Linked DNA regions of Sus scrofa. The protein of the gene in region 2 interacts with the protein of the main gene of each other region in a biochemical or structural test. Links are inferred from orthologs where the notes say so. Each region holds a gene or a part of one and is shown on either strand. Other genes may lie near its edges.

The links. The genes of interacting proteins can lie anywhere in the genome.
Region 1: the proteins of PTPN11 (region 2) and FRS2 interact in a test that uses a peptide from one of them, tested with the Homo sapiens proteins (2 studies listed by BioGRID, with this or other methods). The link is inferred for Sus scrofa from reciprocal best matches to the Homo sapiens genes PTPN11 and FRS2.
Region 3: the proteins of PTPN11 (region 2) and PECAM1 form a complex in vitro, tested with the Homo sapiens proteins (4 studies listed by BioGRID, with this or other methods). The link is inferred for Sus scrofa from reciprocal best matches to the Homo sapiens genes PTPN11 and PECAM1.

The regions. Positions count from the first base shown.
Region 1 is NC_010447.5:33,843,520-33,847,493, forward strand, and holds part of FRS2 (fibroblast growth factor receptor substrate 2), read left to right. Parts: intron 1-291; coding exon 292-478; intron 479-1,317; coding exon 1,318-1,476; intron 1,477-1,833; coding exon 1,834-1,997; intron 1,998-3,974. UniProt on the Homo sapiens protein: Adapter protein that links activated FGR and NGF receptors to downstream signaling pathways.
Region 2 is NC_010456.5:39,288,927-39,293,339, reverse strand, and holds the start of PTPN11 (tyrosine-protein phosphatase non-receptor type 11), read left to right. Parts: upstream 1-1,300; 5' UTR 1,301-1,522; coding exon 1,523-1,536; intron 1,537-4,413. UniProt on the Homo sapiens protein: Acts downstream of various receptor and cytoplasmic protein tyrosine kinases to participate in the signal transduction from the cell surface to the nucleus. Positively regulates MAPK signal transduction pathway. Dephosphorylates GAB1, ARHGAP35 and EGFR.
Region 3 is NC_010454.4:14,691,229-14,695,202, forward strand, and holds part of PECAM1 (platelet endothelial cell adhesion molecule), read left to right. Parts: intron 1-2,941; coding exon 2,942-3,229; intron 3,230-3,974. UniProt on the Homo sapiens protein: Cell adhesion molecule which is required for leukocyte transendothelial migration (TEM) under most inflammatory conditions.

The DNA.
Region 1 (3,974 bases), on a different chromosome or scaffold from region 2:
CAGCCTCTCTTGCACTCATGTGTAAATTAATCACGTACAGTTTTGTGGTGTTGACTTTGTGTTTGTCTATCTTATCTCCTCAGAGGGAATGTGAGTTTTGTGGATATGAACCGGTTTACACCGCCACACAGTCCATGCCCTGTACACATGGTAGTTGATGATTTAACTAATAGAGGAGCAAATAACTGAACCAATCAGCCACAGTACATTTTCCTGGCCAATTAGTGAAATATTTATAGGACTGTCAAGTGGGAGCATATAGGTTAGCACTAATTAAACCTTCTTTTTTAGGTCATTAATGTGGATGATGATGGAAATGAGTTAGGTTCTGGCATAATGGAACTTACAGACACAGAACTGATTTTATACACACGCAAGCGTGACTCGGTAAAATGGCACTACCTCTGCCTCCGACGCTATGGCTATGATTCAAATCTCTTTTCTTTTGAAAGTGGTCGAAGGTGTCAAACTGGACAAGGTAGGTAGAGCCTTTATTTTTTTTTTTTCTCCAAACATTATCGCATTTGAAATATTATTCTTTCAGTTATTCTGTATATAATGTTTAAATAATATTTTATTTTTATCCTCATAGGAAAAAATTCTCAAATAAGTGGGTTTTTAAAAAAGATAACAGTACACTGTATATTCATTTATCAAACATTTATTAAGCGTGTTTTCTATGTTTAGAATTTTGACGCATATTAACTTTAAAATTTGCCGTAAGTAAATGATTAGTCCCAGTAAATTGCCTGTGTGTCTTTACTGTTAGAACTTGGGGGAAAGAACTTATTAAACTTTGGAGTCAAACAGAACATGGTTTGATTTTTTGATGTTGTTGTTACCTACCACTTGAAAGTCTTTCGGCAAGTTTCATGACCTCTGTGGCATCAAATGTCTTCTCTATCAGAGGGAAATGGTAATCTGTACCTTATAGAATTATTGTAATAATTAAACAAGATAATCATTGTAAACCACAGAGCAAGGGCTTGTCAAACGGTAAAGGATCCCCTGGTATTAGTGAGTTGGGCTCCCCCTGCTGTTAAAAACCAGAGTAGAGTCAATGTGCAGATCTTGTTTTTGTCTTCCTTATTTTGAGCTGTCACCCACAGACAAAGGAAAATTATTCTGTGAACTTTCTTTTGAGTTTATGTTTTGAAACAGGGAATGTCATTAATTTATCAGACATTTCTTTTTAAGGCCTTTTTTGCTATTGGTGCACAGAATGCTTAACTGTACAATTTTGCTCTTTGGTGCTCCTGTATCTTTTTTAAAGATGTGGTGACTAGTTTTTTTCATCTGGTTTATTTATATTTGTAGGAATCTTTGCCTTTAAGTGTGCTCGTGCAGAAGAATTATTTAATATGTTGCAAGAGATTATGCAGAATAATAGTATAAATGTGGTGGAAGAGCCAGTTGTTGAAAGGAATAACCATCAGACAGAATTGGAAGTCCCCAGAACACCTCGAACACCTACAAGTAAGTGCCCATTTTCCCTCTTCTGTTATAAACTGTGGATTATGGGTATTTATTCTGTAATGTATTAGAAATTACCATTGACTAACATAAGTATAATGGTTATGAGTTTTCAAAAACTGTTAGCTGTAGTTATAAACATTTTTAATATCTTAAATATGAAAACATTACATGTTTCATATTATTTAAAGTGTGAGTGAAAAGTTGGAGCGGAGACGGGCGCTGTTTGTGCTCTGGTTTCTGCCTGAAACACCTTCCTTAATCCTCTGAGTACTGATTGTATTCTCTTTCATTTTATTTTCTCTGCCCTACCCCATCTCCTGCTTTTCTTCTCAAACCACTAAACAAACAAAAACTCAGCTCCAGGGTTTGCTGCTCAGAACTTACCCAATGGATATCCTCGATATCCGTCATTTGGAGATGCTTCATCCCATCCCTCAAGCAGACATCCTTCTGTGGGAAGTGCACGCCTGCCTTCAGTAGGTGAAGAATCTACACATCCTTTGCTTGTGGCTGAGGAACAAGTATGTGCTCCTGTCGAAAAATATTGTGTGGGGTCCTAGTGTTATTATGCTAATAATACTTAAAGTTTTTAGTTTAAATTTTAGTCATTTACTGTTTGTATATGACTTTTGCAGTGAAGACTCAGAGGAAATAGCATATATGGGCTGACATATGCGCAAACGTGTATATGTGTTGAGGGAAACTTATTAGCATTATAGTAAGTTTTAGGGAGTTCGCACCAGAGGTGGGTTAACAGGACATAACTAACATGCTACAATAACCTCCAATGAATGCTTTTTATATTATGGTTTTTGTAATTAGTGGACTTCTAGCATTAAGGCATATTTTGTTGTTGTCAGTGTTTGAACAGAGCAAGTTAATATTCCTGACTTTTCTGTTTTCCTTTTAGGAATGAAATATCTGGTTGAACACTGTCTGTGTATTACTTATCTTTTGTTAACAATGTGATTATTTATCATTAAGAAGTTTTTTCTGTTTTTTTTTTTTTTTTTTTTGTCTGTTTTGGCTTTTTGGGCCACCATGTACCACGGTGGTAAAAGTGCTGCATCCCACCTACTAGACCACCAGGGAACTCCTGAAATTTTTACTGTTTTAAAATCCATTTCTTTATGTTCTTTACTTGGTAAATGAGTTCTTATATGCTATGATTATATCCATCAGTTTTAAATTGTATTTTCGAGATTTTCCAAATTTTATTATTTACATATATCCCCCTAAAATACCATGAGCTTTTCTAAGTAGTGATAATTTCCTGGTATGTGGTATTTATTTTATATCTGTATATTTACAGAACTCTTATTAAATTTAGTAGGGGAGGAATTCCCATTGTGGCTCAGCGGAAACAAACCTGCCTAGTATCCATAAGGATGCAGGTTTGATCCATGGCCTTACTCAGTGGGTTAAGGATCTGGCGTTGCTATGAGCTGTGGTGTAGGTCACCAGTGCCACTCAGGTCCCCTGTGACTGTGGCTGTGGCTTATGTCAGCACCTGTAGGTCCAATTTGACCCCTAGCCTGGGAATCTCTGTGTGCTGTAGGTGCAGCCCTTAAAAGAAAAAAAAAATTAGTAGGGGAGTTCCCACTATGGCACAGTGGGTTAAGGACCCAGCATTGCTGCAGCTGTGTTATAGGTCACAGCTGCAGCTCAGATTGATCCCTGGCCTTGAAACTTCTGTTTTGGCAGGTTTGGCCAAAAAAAGAGTCTAGTAGGGTTTATCCCTTTGTACAGTCAGATCATCTATAAATATTGATAAATTTATCTCTTTTTAATACCTATTATTTCCTGTTTCTAAATCATGTTTTAATGCATTGTTGAGAATTTCTAGAACATTAAAGTGATAATCTCTATTTATTCCTGATTTTTTTTACAGAATGCTTATTATGTTTCACCATCAAGTATATTTTATTTTTATTTATTTATATATTTACTTATTACAGTGTAGTTAATTTACAATGTTGTGCCAATTTCTGCTGTACAGAAGAGTGACTCAGTATGTGTGTGTGTGTGTATACATTCTTTCATTTGTGTGTGTGTGTGTGTGTATGCGTGTGTGTCTTTTTTTAGGGCCTCACCCACAGCACATGGAATTTCCCAGGCTAGGAGTCAAATCAGAGCTACAGCTGCCAGCTTACGCCACAGCCACAGCAGCTCAGGATCCAAGCCGTGTCTACAACCTACACCACAGGTCACAGCAATGCTGGATCCTTAACCCACTGAGCGAGGCCAGAGATCCAACCCACATACTCATGGATACTAGTTGGGTTCTTAACCTGCTGAGCCATGACGGGAACTCCTATGTATTATTTTCCATCATGATCTCTGGAGATTGGATATAGTTCCCTATGTTATACAGTAAGACCTTATTGTTTATCCATTCTAAATGTAATAGTTTGCATATCTTAACCCCAAACTCCCAGTCCATCTCACTCACTCCCCCCTCCCCTCTGGCAACCATCAAATAAATTTCAAAGTAGTTA
Region 2 (4,413 bases):
CAAGTTATCCTTACATGTATACATTTTTTCCCCCACCCTTTGTTCTGTTGCAATATGAGTATCTATACATAGTTCGATCGTGTGGTTTTTGACTTTTCTTTTGTTGATGTGGTGTACGACATTGATTGATTTGCATATGTTGAACCATCCTTGTGATCCTGGGATGAATCCCACTTGGTCATGGTGTATAATCTTTTTTATGTTTTTGGATGCAGTTGGCTAAAATTTTGTTGAAAATTTTGGGGTCTGTATTCATCAAAGATATTGGCCTATAGTTTTCTTTTTTGTTAACATCTTTGTCTGGTTTTGGTATTAGGATGATGGTGGCATCATAGAATGTCTTTGGGAGTGTTCCTTCTTCAAACTTTTGGAAAAGTTTAAGGATGGGTATAAGTTCCTCTTTGTATGTTTGGTAGAATTCACCTGTGAATCCATCTGGTCCTGGACTTTCATTTATAGGGAGTGTTATCATTTCCTACTACTCTCCTTATATTTCCTATACCCTTCCCACCTCCTACTGTGCTCCAGGCAGAGATTTCTTCATTTTCCCTCCTGCCTCCTGCCTCAGGCCCTTTGCAATGGCCTCTCCCTGTGCTTGAAATGCTCTTCCCCTAAATTATTCTGTCTATTTCTACATCAGATCTTTACTCAAACGTTATCCTTAGTGATAACGTTATCCTTTAAAATAACATAAACGGCTATGGAGAAAAGAAGGGAAATGAGGATGGGAGTATTTCTCTTGATTACTATGGCTCCTATCACAAGAACACCGGGATTTTTGTCTTTTCATCCCCATAGTCAAAAATAGAGCCTAGCAGATAGAAAACACTTGCATGTTTACTTCCAATAAAGCACTTAATAGGCCAGGCCTCGTTCTAAACATTTTACATTTTTAATTCTCCCCATAAACCTAAGAAGAAAATACAATTCTCGTTGTACAGAAATGAAGGAATGGAGGAAACAGCCTCAGAGAAATCAAGCAGTTTTCCCAAGGTTACATATCTGGAGCGAAGCGGCTGTTTGTAGAATGAAATGAATGAAATTCGACTTGACGGCGCAGGAATGGAAATCCACGCGGTGGGAGTGGATGCGATCAATTCCTGTGAGCGCGTGAGACTTTGAGCGCACAGCACAGGCCCCGCTGTGAAGGCCTAAAGGAGGAGGTGAGGGTACTTTGGGAACTGCACGGCAGCTGCTTCGCCGAACCACTAAATTGCCATAACCAGTTGCAGATCAGCCCCGGCTGACTGGAAGCAGGAAGTAGCGGCCGGCGTCGCGCGGGGTGACGTCATGGTGGCGCCGGCGCCGAGGGGCGGGGGAGAAGGAGGAGCGAACCGAGGTTGGGGGGCGGCTGCACAGTCCCCGGGATCCCCAGGCCTGGAGGGGGGTCTGCGCGCGGCCGGCTGGCACTGCCCCCCGTCCGGTCCCGAGCGGGCCTCCCTCGGGCCAGCCCGATGTGACCAGGCTCAGTGGAGCCTGAGCAAGGAACCGGTCCGTCGCGGAGCCGGAGAGCGGGAGGAACATGACATCGCGGAGGTGAGGAGCCCCGAGGGCCCAGCCTGGGCCTCAGCCCCGCACCCCCCCCGCGCCGCGTTTGGTCTGCCCGGCCTGGGAAGGGGCGGCCGGGCCAGGCTTCGGACTCCGGCCCGGGGTCGCGGGGGCAGGATCTGTCCCAACTCCCTGTCCCTCCTGGGCCCCAGGGCCCGGCCCCACCGCGCCCCCACCCCTCGCGTCCTCATTCATTTCCTGCCTCCCCGAGTTCCGGCTCCTGCAGCCCTGGGGATGCCCGTCTGGACAGGGGCAGGTAGAGCCGCCCCAGGAACCGCGGACGCCAGCGGCCCGGCTCGGCGCCGCATTCCTGACCCATTGCCTCATGAGAATTGCCTCATGGTGATTCCGAAATAACCCCGCTCACTTGGGGAGGCTCCTCGGTCCGGGACGCGGGAGGGGAGAGGAGGGAGTTGCGCGGGGCCGGGCCCCAGTTGATCGAGCGGCTCTGGGTCACTACTTTTTGCGCGCATTCGGGGGCTTTACTCAGGATCCCTGACCCCTTTACATGCCTTTTTGCATCCCGTCCCCCCGACTACTCACGTGCCAGAAATGGAAAAACTGACTGTATCTACAGCTATTAGAAGTATTTCCTTCCTCTGCGATCTTCTCTTTGGGAGATTGGAGGGCAGGGAGCTCTGTCTCTAGTTATTTAATCCTTCACCACAACCGTAAATGTCTGGTAACATTAATCACCCCCGTTTTACGGATGTGTAAACTGAGGCTCAGAGGAAACATGATAGTAATAGGATTTGAACCGAAGAGTCCTCAGAGTAGTGAATTGAGATTCTTTGAAAGTTCAGTGTAGTTATACCATTAATAGCTAACATTTATTTAGCTCTTACTGTATGCCAGATACGTTTAATCCTTACTCTCAACCTATGAGATAGGTAGTGTTATCACCGTTCTAAAGATGAGTAAACTGAGTTTCAGAAGTTAGGCAACTTGCCTAAGGTCAGTCTATCAATAAGTAGTGGAACCAGAATCCCCACTGTTAATTACTAGGTTGCTATTATTGTTTCATAACTATTGCCAATCATTTGTAAGCCTTAATTTTGTTGTTAAACAGTAGTATGATCTGTTGTTTTCAGATAACGATCCTGCTATGTATTGCTACTTTTTATATACGATTCAAACATAAGATCCATTGTTTAGACTTTCCTTCATTGTCCTGTTATGGTCACTGTCTCAGACATTTGAAAAACTGTTTCAAGCTGTTAGAGTTATTTGAATGAGAGATTTCAAAATATTAGGAATGCTTTCTCAAAAACACCTGCATATTTTCCATTCATGGAATGAAAAGAGAAAGAAGAAAACTGAAAACTTAGAAAGTGAGTGCTTTGGACAGGTCTGTTGGCAAGTGCTTACAGATCTGGGTAATACATAATTGCATTTCAGCAGAACAGTGTATAGCCTCAAATGTGCTTATTCTTTAGGGAGCTTTTAAATAAAACAGTTGTCTATTCTTTAATCTGTCAAATAGTCATTGAGCCTTTTGTTCCTTGTGTCTGCTCTTCCAGACAAGTAAGGATCTGCTTCTTTTAGGAGACAAAAAGATTGGGGGCTGGGGCTGGGATAGGGGCTGGGTAGTAATAGACTCTACATTGTCTAGCTTGTTAGTTTAGAAGCCAGGAAGTGTGGTATAGCCAAAGCAGCAAGTGGTAAAGATGACAGCTTGAAATGGAGTAATTCCTTCTCTCCTCCAGCCCTCTCTTACCTGTTATGGAAAAGAAATGTGTGCCACCTAAAAGTCATATTATGAATATAACACACATAATTGGAAACTATTTATTTTTATTTTTCAGATAGATGTTTTATTTTTAACCAGCTTTATTGAGGTATAAACGACATAGGATAGATTGCATATATTTGTTTTTCTTTCTTTCTTTCTTTTTTTTTTTTTTTTTTTTTTTGTCTTTTTTGGCTGCCCTGCGGCATATAGAAGTTCCCTGGGCCAGGGATTACATCCAAGTCGAAGTTGTGACCTAAGCTGCAGCTGCGGCAACACAGGATTCTTAACCCACAGTGTCAGGCTGGGGATGGAACCTGTGTCCCAGTGCTCCCAAGACGCTGCCAGTACCGATGTGCCATAGCAGGAACTCCCAACTGCATATATTTAAGCATACAGTTTGAGAAGTTTTGACACATAGATACACTTGTAAAACCATCACCATAATTGAGATAATGGACATATCCATCACGCCTTGCCATGGCTCCTCAAGCCCTTTCTAATCCCTTCCTTCTCAGACAAACACTCTTCTGTTTTCTGTCCCTGTGTATTAGTTTGCATTTCCTAGAATTTTGTATAAATGGGCTTTGATGTATGGTTTCTTATGCTCAGCATAATTATGTTGAGATTCAACCATATTATAGTGTGTGTGTCAAATAGTTCATTACTTTTTATTGATTAGTAATATTCCATCGTATGGATGTACTGCCATCTATTTATCCACCTACCTGTTGCTGGACATTTGGGTTGTTTCAGAGTTTGGCCATCACAAATAAAGCTGCTCTGAATGTTGGTGTACAACTGTGTGTATAGCTGTGTACCTCATTCCTCTTTGGAAAATACCCATCAATGGTATGGCTGGTTCACATAGTAGATATATATTTAACTTTTTTAGGGGCGTTCCTGTTGTGGCTCAGTGGTTAATGAATCTGAGTAGGAACCATGAGGTTTCAGGTTCGATCCCTGACCTTGATCAGTGGGTTAAGGATCTGGCGTTACCGTGAGCTGTGGTATAGGTCCCAGGTGCGGCTTGCATCCTGTGTTGCTGTGGCTTTGGCGTAGGCTGGTAGCTACAGCTCTGATGAGACCCCTAGCCTGGAAACCTCCATATGCTGTGGGAGAGGCCCTAGAAAAGG
Region 3 (3,974 bases), on a different chromosome or scaffold from region 2:
GCAGCATATGGAGGTTCCCAGGCTAGGGGTCTGTTGGAGCTACAGCTGCCGGCCTCCGCCACAGCCACAGCAACACCAGATCCAAGCCGCAGCTGCGACCTACACCACAGCTCATGGCAGCACCGGATCCTTAACCCACTGAGCAAGGCCAGGGATCGAACCTGCAACCTCATGGTTCCTAGTCGGATTCATTTCTGCTGCGCCACAATGGGAACTCCCCCATGTGGATATCTTGAGGTGGATAACAATTCCTCCTACTATTAATGTACAGTCTAAGAGGAACAATATTTTTCAAATTAACACCAATATATATTAAGCAGCTCATGCTATAGGGCGTTCCAAAAAAGAAGACATATTCTTTGTTTTCAATGATATAATGAGAAACACAGGATCTCCTGATTAAATAGTGAAGGAACGTTTTGATATATTTGAATAACAGTGCAAAGAAACATAGGAAAAGTGTTACTAGGCAACACATGATTGTCGCCTGAACCCTCCGTACGGTGATGGTGACAGGAATTTAGGGCATGAATGATGCCACATCTAGGCTGAGTGGGAGGAGCTGGCTAAAAGCCAAGGCTCGACAATGGCTGGGCAGAGAGGGCTAGAGATGGTCCCCAGCCTAGTCAAATATATGAGCAAAAGGCTCCATGGAGCAGTTCAAAAGGCTGTGGCTACATCAAATGGCTGGACACAAAGGCTGGGGATGAAGAGTCAGCGGCCATAAACAGGAAGAGTGGCTGAGCCTAACTGTGAAGGGCTTCAATTGCCCGTCAGGAGTCGGGGCTTTGTCCTGTGTGCAGTGAAGAGCCAGAAGTGGGAAAGAGGATATGCCGAGAATGCGGTCTTGGCAAGATTAACCTGGGAGTCCTGTCAGTTAGAAGGAGTGGGGGGAGTTCCCGTCGTGGCACAGCCGGAGCGAATCCGACTGGAACCATGAGGTTGCGGGTTCCATCCCTGGCCTTGCTCAGTGGGTTAAGGATCTGGCGTGCTATGAGCAGTGGTGTAGGTTGCAGATGCAGCTCGATCTGGCGTTGCTGTGGCTGTGGCATAGGCCAGCAGCTGTAGCTTCGATTAGACACCTATGCTGGGAACCTCCATATGCTGTGGGTGTGGCCCTAAAAAGCAAAACAAACAAACAAGTGCAAATAAATAATAAATAAATAGTTGCAATTCTCACTTAAAAAAATTTTTTTAAAAAAAGGTGAAAAAGAAAAAAAAAATGGAGTGGAGACTCCAAGCCTTACAAGACCTTAAGAAGCTAGTGTAGGAGCCCACGTGAAACTGTTGTTTTATACTGGGTCAACATTAATGGCTAATATTTACTGAGCTCTGTCCATCCACCCCCATGTGAAGTATTTTAGTAAATTACTCCCATTCATACTTACAGTAGCCACATCAGATCCATATTAATATCATCCTTATTTTATGATGAGGCAACTAGGGCTTAAGATAAAGAGCTGGTGGGCATTTGGGCTGGGAATTGAGGCCAGGCAGTCTGGCTCCTGAGCCTGGCTTGCCACCACCCCCTTGTGCTTCACAAGAAGAGGGGCCGTCAGGTCCAGCTGCACCTCCAGGAGGCTGCCCTTGGGGTTGACCCCCATCATCCCATCCCAGGCTCCGTGCTCCCTTTCGCTGGGTCAGCAAGTCCATGGTCTGGCCCCCTCTACACTCATGAGGGTGACTCACAAGTCAGATGCCAGTCTGCTGATCAGTTCACTCTCATACTAGTAGGAACATCCTTGGGAAGACAGTCTACAAGCAGAATTTTGGTGGTTGGACGTGGAGCGAAAGGGGCTATAGGAGGAAGATGAGTTCGGCTTGGCTCTGCTGGGAATGAGAGGCTGGCAGGGCTTCTTGCTGGAAATGCCCAAATGAAATTCAAGACTCGGAATTCAGGGGAGTAATCTGGACTAGAGCTGTTTAACCAATGTAGGGGAGATCACCAAAGGGGAGAGCGGAGACGGAGAACTGAGGACGAATTTTGTGGAAAGTCCCCAGGTAAAGGGCAAAAGGAAGAAAAATTGGTGAATAAAGAGGGAGTGGCAGGTGAGGAGGTAAGAGAATCAGAGTTGTAAGACTTCACAGAAGCCCAGAGAAAGCTGAGTTCAAAAGAAAAGGCTGGTGGAGTTCCCTAGTGGCTCAGCAGGTTAAGGATCCAGCGTTGTCACTGCAGCAGCTCAGGTCTCTGCTATGGCAGAGGTTCGATCCCTGGCCCAGGAACTTCCACATGCCAGGGACATGGCCAAAAAAAGGGAAAGACTGAGTAATAGGTGAGAATGATTATGATAGGGAGGCCAAGGCTGCGAAAGCTGGAAGAACATCCACCATGGATTTATCTGCAGGGATGAGTTAGCTGGGGAGTCCGATGACCTTTGAGTTTCTTCAAAACCAGAGATATAGTGCAGCTTCAGAAGCAGAAGGATAGAAGTCAGATTTCAAGGCTAACAAGAAAGAGAAAAACAGGACAATAGCGAGAGAAGGCAGGGCATCAAGGTTACTTGCTCGTAAGATCTGGACATGCCATGTATCTTTGTAAGCAGAGGGAAAGAAATCACACACACTCTCTCTCTCTCTCCCTCCCTCCCCCTTACACACCCCCACACACTCACATATCCAAACTCACCCAGAACAGACCCCAAGAGAACATAAGTTAATCATATAGTCAGGTGGCCAGTAATACTTGAGGTGGTAGGTGAAGGGAGGCGTCCCTAGCATCTCGTGTCTTATCAACATGTGAGGACAGGAGGTGTCCATTGCTGCCCTTCTGGGCTAATCGGGAGAAGAACTGGAAAGAATGTGAGATGCCAGGAGTGATTTGAAAAGGGGCACGGTCCAGTTCTGGATCAGTCACAGAAGGCTGGCCTTGACCAGTGGCTGTGTCATGGTCCTTCTCTTCCCCACCTCTTTTCTCAGAGCTAATCCCTTTCCTGCTTTTCAGCCCCAGTGGAGGAAGTCAAGCTCTCTATTCTCCTGAGCGAGGAGGTGGAGTCTGGGCAGGCCATTGTGCTTCAATGCTCCGTGAAAGAAGGATCTGGCCCCATCACGTACAAGTTTTACAAAGAAAAGGAGAACAAGCCCTTCCACCAAGTCACCTTGAATGACACCCAGGCCATTTGGCACAAGCCAAAGGCTAGCAAGGATCAGGAGGGACAGTATTATTGCCTGGCCTCCAACAGAGCCACCCCTTCCAAAAACTTCCTCCAAAGCAATATACTGGCAGTCAGAGGTGAGTCTCGGTCTCAATGGTGAAACGTAGTGTGAGCTCCAAGGGCCAGAAAGCACACTGTTTGTAAGAGGAAGTGGGTGGGAGTTTGGCACATCTTACTGAGGAAACTGTATCCTCCAGGCTCTTTGGTTGCAGGTAACAAAACCCACTCAAATTAAGTATAAAAGAGGAAGAATGTATACATGATATGTGACTGGGTCCCCTTGCTATACAGTAGAAAATTGACAGAACACTGGGAGTTCTCGTCGTGGCTCCGTGGCTCCACGTCTTACGCTGGTAGACGTGGGCATGAGTGGAGACCCCCCCACATGCCGAATGCTTCCCCGTGAATCTGTGATTGTGCCATGATTTCCACCCTGGGCTTGAGGTTAGCCATGCATAGAGGGGAAGCCAGGACTACCCACTGACCCTCAGGAATCAAGTCTGCTAAGCCAGACTCCAGGAAAAGGGCACAGCACCAGTAAAGTCTGCTCTGGTCTGGTGGAGGAACCATGAGGTTGCGGGTTCCATCCCTGGCCTTGCTCAGTGGGTTAAGGATCTGGCATTGCCGTGAGCTGTGATGTAAGTCGCAGCATTGCCATTGCTGTGGCCCTGGTGTAGGCTGTTGCTACAGCTCCGATTAGACCCCTAGCCTGGGAACCTCCATATGCTGTGGGAGCAGCCCTAGAAAAGGCAAAAAGACAAGAAAGAAAGAAAGAGAGAAAGAGAGAAAGAGAGGAGTTGATTACTCTAAGGAATTAGAAGT